Macaca fascicularis: one gene and its partner. The protein of the gene in region 1 interacts with the protein of each later gene in a biochemical or structural test. Links are inferred from orthologs where the notes say so. Each region holds a gene or a part of one and is shown in the gene's direction. Other genes may lie near its edges.

The links.
Region 2: the proteins of AP2B1 (region 1) and CLINT1 form a complex in vitro, tested with the Homo sapiens proteins (2 studies listed by BioGRID and IntAct, with this or other methods). The link is inferred for Macaca fascicularis from reciprocal best matches to the Homo sapiens genes AP2B1 and CLINT1.

The regions. Positions count from the first base shown.
Region 1 is NC_088390.1:41,928,248-41,931,901, forward strand, and holds part of AP2B1 (AP-2 complex subunit beta), read left to right. Parts: intron 1-1,638; coding exon 1,639-1,860; intron 1,861-2,394; coding exon 2,395-2,515; intron 2,516-2,640; coding exon 2,641-2,736; intron 2,737-3,654. UniProt on the Homo sapiens protein: Component of the adaptor protein complex 2 (AP-2). Adaptor protein complexes function in protein transport via transport vesicles in different membrane traffic pathways.
Region 2 is NC_088380.1:164,616,701-164,620,354, reverse strand, and holds part of CLINT1 (clathrin interactor 1), read left to right. Parts: intron 1-1,930; coding exon 1,931-2,108; intron 2,109-2,534; exon of another isoform or gene 2,535-2,641; intron 2,642-3,654. UniProt on the Homo sapiens protein: Binds to membranes enriched in phosphatidylinositol 4,5-bisphosphate (PtdIns(4,5)P2). May have a role in transport via clathrin-coated vesicles from the trans-Golgi network to endosomes. Stimulates clathrin assembly.

The DNA.
Region 1 (3,654 bases):
AGTATGTTAAAGTCAGCAAAATATATCCTGCTTTCCATTAGATATGGAAACCATGTCAGTCTGAATTTGAAGATTTTAGAAGGCACACCTAGATTGTTCTGCTCAGCCTGTTACCATGTAATGTTGCAAATTTTCTTTAGTTATTAGAAATTGACTACTAAATTTCATCTACACATACATACATTTTAGTTTACAAAGTTGGAATTATCTCTAATTTTTATTGAGCATTTTGTATATGCAGGCACTGTACTAGGCAAAGTACTTCTGAAGAAATGTTGACTCTTCATTAAAGTTGGTATATTTTAATTATGGTAGATAAGAACTGGTCTGGCTGAAGCTGATTTCCAAGCTACTAGAATGTAAGTGATCTTCACTTATCTGGGAAATAGTCCCTCTAGACTGAACTAAAGCTCACTCTGATAGTTTCTTTCCATCATTGAAAGTACAAATACAGTCTGGAAATTACTGAGAATTACTGTTTTCTTCTGTTGGCCATTGACATCACATTCATTCATTCACTCAGCAAATATTTATTAAGCGCATACTATGTGCTAGGCAGTGTTCCTAGGCCCTGAGGATACAACAGTGAACAAAGTCATGGCCCTCTGGGATCACTTATTTGAAGGTTGGGGGTAGGAATATATAACATGTATAGATAGTATAATATATTATATGTATAGATAGTTTAATATGTAATATGTGAGATGGTGATAAGTACTAACAAGAAAGTAAAGTAGAGAGTGCCGTTATCTAAGAAATCTAAGAAATGCTGGACATTTGGGGGTGGGGGGTTGTATTTTATTTTTAAAAGATGGCCAGGGAAGGCCTCACTGAGAAGGTGGCATTTGTATAAAGACCCAAAGGAAGTCAGGAATAGGAGGAAGAGAGAAACACCGCCTATTTATCTTGTTTCTTTAATACAGTAAGTTAGCTACTCGTGTTGCCCAAGCTATCAAAATTGGATTAATTTCTAAAGAACCCTCAACAGATAATTAAATATCTACCATTTTATGAGTCATGTAAGTGTAGGTGGCAGGGGCTGGGAGAGCAGGGAGATGGGAAAATATAGTAGTGGTGTCCTGCTATTTAAAAAACAAACCCTTTTCAGAGAGTCCCTTATTCTCATTATCCTCAAGACAGGAGATTGGATTGTTTTCCCTACCAACCTGCCTCCTTCTGTATCTTACAATGAAATCTTCAGCCATAACTGGGTTGCTGGCACTTCCTATGAAATAACTCTCAGAATGCTTAATTTGACTTCCTATAGGTTGAGTAGAAATGGGCTGAGAGGCAGGGAGCCCTAACATAATATGGGGAGACAAAGAGGACTATAAAACAAGAAGGTAAATGGTGTGAGCTCAAGTGTCTTGGGTAATGCTAGTTTCTTTCCAGTTTGAACATCCCTTATTGCTGGTTTTCTGAAGTCTTCTGATGTCCCTGCTCTGCCTGTAGTTTGCTGAGAATGAGGCTTCTGCATTGTCAGATCCCAGTTTTACCTAAGCATAGAGCTTTGACTTTTCTAACTAATTCTTGAATTTTTTGATACTTGGGTCATTAGACTCTGACATATTACCTTATAGAATGAATTCAGCAAAGAAATTATAATTCATGATATTAATTTTCATTCTTTGCCCTCAGCATATGTGAGCGGGTAACTCCCCGGCTATCCCATGCCAACTCAGCAGTGGTGCTTTCAGCAGTAAAAGTCCTAATGAAGTTTCTAGAATTGTTACCTAAGGATTCTGACTACTACAATATGCTGCTGAAGAAATTAGCCCCTCCACTTGTCACTTTGCTGTCTGGGGAGCCAGAAGTGCAGTATGTCGCCCTGAGGAACATCAACTTAATTGTCCAGAAAAGGTTGGAAAATAGTGAAGTGTTGATTAAAGTCTTTGTGATTTTGCATTAAGCTTAATAATGTTAATGTTAATTAGGCTAGTGTTAATCTCTTTTTAATATATGGAAATGAAAATGTTATATGGCAGAACAACTTGCTTGCCTAGCACCAGGAGGCTAACAGTTGATATCACAGTATTTCTATAATAAATGCCATGTGTTGCTGCACAGTCCAGTTTGTTTTCTGAAGGGTCTCTTTCTGATACACTGTCTAGTGCCTGGTTGATATGGTTCACGTTGTAGTTTAGAGCCAGATTGTTGTTCTTTTAGCAGTACTTCATGGCAACGTGTGCCCTGATGCTTAAAAAGGATAAAAATAATCTGCCAAGTGGAACTGATAAGAATAGAGGCATATAGAGGAAGTTTATGCATTTTTTTTTTTTTCCTGAGTGGAGCGAGAGGAGAGCAGAGAGGCACAGATTAGGTATTAATACAGTCTCAGAAGGGTGTATCAGTATATGCCTTCACCTTCCTTTCTTCTGTTTCTGTGTACCCTAGGCCTGAAATCTTGAAGCAGGAAATCAAAGTCTTCTTTGTGAAGTACAATGATCCCATCTATGTTAAACTAGAGAAGTTGGACATCATGATTCGTTTGGCATCTCAAGCCAACATTGCTCAGGTCAGACTTTATGCAGACTCAAGTTGATAATGATTTAGCTCTTAAGGTCTGGCCTTTAAAGAAGCTAGGCTGTGAGATTGCTATTTGAGAATCCTTAATGATTAACCACTTCCTCCATTTAACAGGTTCTGGCAGAACTGAAGGAATATGCCACAGAGGTAGATGTTGACTTTGTTCGAAAAGCTGTGCGGGCCATTGGACGGTGTGCCATCAAGGTGGAGGCAAGTGTCTGATGGTAGTTAGGATCATGTATTGGGGATTCTGAGAGTTCTCTTCACTTTTTTCTTTAAAATAATTTTTAAATTTATCAAACTAATAAAGCACACCATTTAAATGTTAAATAATTTTTGATGGAAAGCAGCTGTCTCTGGTCCCTCCCTTCCCTACCTAGACTCTCTTCTCAGAGGGAATAATTTTTTTTTTTTTTTTTTTTTTTTTTGAGACGGAGTCTCGCTGTGTCGCCCAGGCTGGAGTGCAGTGGTGCGATCTCGGCTCACTGCAAGCTCCGCCTCCCGGGTTCACGCCATTCTCCTGCCTCAGCCTCCCAAGTAGCTGGAACTAGAGGCGCCCACCACTACGCCTGGCTAATTTTTTGTATTTTTAGTAGAGACAGGGTTTCACTATATTAGCCAGGATGGTCTTGATCTCCTGACCTCGTGATCCGCCCGTCTCAGCCTCCCAAAGTGCTGGGATTACAGGCCTGAGCCACCATGCCCAGCCTAACCAGTACTTTATAGCAACAAAAGGAGGCAGATGTGTGTCAGAGGATCTTCTATGAAATACCTGCTACTAATTGGCCTTCTTTGTTTTTTTCAATTTAGTACTGCTTTATGTAGTTTCTGTTGATAAATCATTTGGTAGACTGGCTGTTACAGCAAGAAGTTAGCTGATCCTGGATTCTATTCCTGGTTCTGCTAGCTCACTTGATTCAGATGTTTAATATGTTTGTTTCTCTTCATTGGAGAAATGGGAAGGTCTTTTTATTGGATCTTGATACGTTACATCTTTTTTATTACCACTATCACCACACATCACAACTTGTTTTTCTTTTCTTTTTACATTAACATATCTTACTAGCCGTGTACTTAGTATTAATATAGATAATTTTCAGAGAGATTTTGGTAGCCTAAGAGTAAGGT
Region 2 (3,654 bases), on another chromosome or scaffold:
TCCTTCCTTCCTTCCTTCCTTCCTTCCTTCCTTTCTTCCTTCCTTCCTTCCTTCCTTCCTTCCTTCTTTCCTCTCTCTCTCCTTCTCTTTCTTTCTCTCTCTCTCTCCCTCCCTCCCTCCCTCCTGTCCTTCCTTCCTTCCTTCCTTCCTTCCTTCCTTCCTTCCTTCCCTCCCTCCCTCCCTCCCTCCCTCCCTCCCTCCCTCCCTTTCTTCTCGCTCTGTCACCCAGGCTGGAGTGCAGTGGTGCAATCTCAGCTCACTGCAACCTCCGCCTCCCAGGTTCAAGTGATTCTCCTGCCTCATCCTCCTGAGAAGCTGGGACTACAGGCGGGAGCCACCATGCCTTGCCAATTTTTGTATTTTTAGTAGAGACAGGGTTTCGCCATGTCAGCCAGGCTGGTCTCAAACTCCTGACTTCAAGTGATCCGCCCACCTCAGCCTCCCAAAGTGCTGGGATTAGAGGCGTGAGCCACCATGTCCGGCCAGTTTTGTGTTTTCTCATTCTGACATTAGATAATGTCTTGCCAGTATCCAGTATCTTTAGCACTAATTCAGTATGATACTGACCATGCTAATCAGTTTGGTTTTCATCCACTTCCATTTTTTGCGCAAATGTGTTTCTTTCCAAAGTCTAGTTCATCACACTGTTGTTGAAATGTACATACACATGGTTGGAAAATCACTTATTTTTAAAAAATCATCCTGTTTTAAATTTTGTCTAGAAAACTTCATTTTCTTTTTCTTTAAGTTGGTGGTCACTTCCAGATTCAGTAAATATGTTAAAATCCTTAAACACTTACAGAAAATTTTAGCCTTGCAATTTTAGCAGGCAATTCAGCAGAATGATTTTGTTCAATCTCCAAAGGCTGTGTATCGTATCCTTTTAGATCCTATAAGCAAAAGTTCAACACAAAAGCTTCATTAGCCACTTTTCAGTTATTTTGTTGTTCCTCATTGTCCTTCTTTTCTTCCAACCTGCCTTAATTTTGAATGTTTTCTTTTTTTAAAAAACCTCGCGTGCTCTCTGTACCTTCTACTCTTGCTTCTTAAGTTGAATTTGGACATGGAAATAAAAGAATTTCATTTTGTGTCCGTAATTCCTATGTCTCCTTCAGGGCCCTAAGGGCAAGGACTAAAACAAATCTTGACATTTTGGGTTTTTTGTTTACTGCCAGGATCTATTCTCTGCATTCGCAAATTCACACAGAGGCTCTAGGTTTCGCCAGTCTCTGCATATGTTTGGAATGGATGTTTGAATTGGTTGACACTGTTCTGAACTACTGTTTGAGCATACTTCCTGATTCTAGCGTGTGTAGTTTTTGGTAGTTAGAGTAATCCTTTCTTTGTACGGTAATGACGGAATGCTTTCCCATCCTTTGAAAATTCATTGAACTATTATTTTAGTTTGATACTGAGGAATGACAGTTATTGAGACCGTTTAGCTTACTGGGACATGTGGCATTCAGAGTGGAGTTCCCTCAGATTGTATTTTTTAAGACACTGTTGCTATCCAATACTTTTCTGAAAATTGGGAAACCATTAAGGGACAGGAATAAAATATAACATATTAAGTGGCTTTTGTAAAAACAGAAAGATTTTCATTTCTCTTTTGCTTATATAGCTTGTGTTGGTTTTGTGTTTTCCACTGCTCCTTTCAGTAGCCTTTAAGAATTTCCTGATATGCCGTGCTGTGCATTAAGGTTGTGTAAGTATTCATAAACAAAAGCTTTTGAATCTGCATTCCTGCCACTTAATGACTGGCATTACATGCTATGCCTTGCTGTAATTGTGTTGATTCAGCACTATGGGAGCTTTCTGTTTTCCTTTGAAAATGATTTTATTATGAGGAAAAGCCTGAGAAATAAGGACTTGTAGATACCTTTTGAATTTAATGTCCTTAGAGTTGCTTGTTTTTTAATGCTCTATATAGGTGAAAGATATGATCCTGAGCCCAAATCAAAATGGGATGAGGAGTGGGATAAAAACAAGAGTGCTTTTCCATTCAGTGATAAATTAGGTGAGCTGAGTGATAAAATTGGAAGCACAATTGATGACACCATCAGCAAGTTCCGGAGGAAAGATAGAGAAGACTCTCCAGAAAGATGCAGGTATTTTAACACTTTGTCTCCCAGGTCTCTTAGAAAGAGTCCTAAATTTATGCCACTGGGTTTTTGGTTTTTTGTTGGTTTTGTTTGGGGTATTAACATTATCTGAAATTGGGCCTTTTTTTTTTTTTTAAAATAGACTTCATTTGTTTTTAGAGCAATTTAAGCTCACAGAAAAATTGTGCATAAAGTACAGAGAGTTGCCATATGCCCATTTCCCCTTCATAACAGGTTCTGTGAACATCTTGCATTACTATGGTGCATTTGTTGACAATTGAAAAGTCAGTATTGATACACTTATTAACTAAAGTCTGTAGTTTACATTGGGGTTTCCTATATTGTACACTTCTATGGGTTTTGACAAATGCATAATATTTCTCATTACTGTGTCTTATAGAATAGTTTCACTGCCCTAAATATGCCCTGTGCAGAAATGTGGAACAAGTCTTAAATGTGCAAGTCATCCTTGCACAGGGGGCTTGCTAATCTTCCCTGTATTGTTCTGGTTTTAGTATGTGTGCTGCCGAAGCAAGCGCTGTGTAACTATTTTTAAGATGCTAGGTTATACACTACTTGCAATTAGTATTGACATACTTTCCATGTTGCCAGTGTCTACTTATTTTTGAAGTTGATCCTGTGTATTTTTAGTAGTCTTCCCTTGGATATTTTTTCCCCAGTAAAAACTTGTATAGATTATTTTGCATTTGGACCTTAGATGATCCAGGGACCTAAGATGTTGAGGGATAATGAAGTTTATATATTAAGTTTAATTAAACATAAGTTAAAGGATTTGAAATTTAGTGCTTCCTTGACATTTCATTATGATTCTGTGTCAGTGTGTACCAGAAAAACAATCCAAATGGATTTTGAACTGGTTTTTGAGAGCAGATCTGTATTTTTATAAACTACATTTTCTGATGGTAGGGCATTCGTATTTCATTTTACATGGAACAATACTTTGAACTTTGCAGCAGTCCCTTTTGTTCTTACCTACCAATATAGTTATAAACCAACTTTTCTGACAATATAAAGGGTAATGCATATAGCACTTAATTTACAAAGCAAATTTTACTTTGTAAATTTGACCCTTATCATTTGTGCCTCACAGTATCTACTAGAGTAGCATAAGAATTTTGCCTTTATTGTTTATAAGTAAAACCTAAGATCCAGTCACACTGTGTGGAATTGCCTAAGTAACACAGTTAGTGATGGAACCAAGCCTTCAAGTGAGTTCTCGTAACTAAATACCATCTCTTTTTTTTTTACCTTGTGCCAAAAATCTTAATAATTCAGAATTAGGGATCATTAAAAAGAGACCCAAACAAAAATACAATCTAATTAGTGTATTTTTAGGATATTTTCCTATCTTTTAAATCCCTGGAATGTCTCTTCAGGAAATACCAACAGAATAATGACCATAATTTCAATAATGTTTTCCAAACCAAGCCAAAACTTATACAGGCCACAAAAACATTAATGAAGAAAACAACTCCATATATTTGAAATGGGCACCATTTCCCTCCCAATGTTTAGTGTTTATAATTATCAT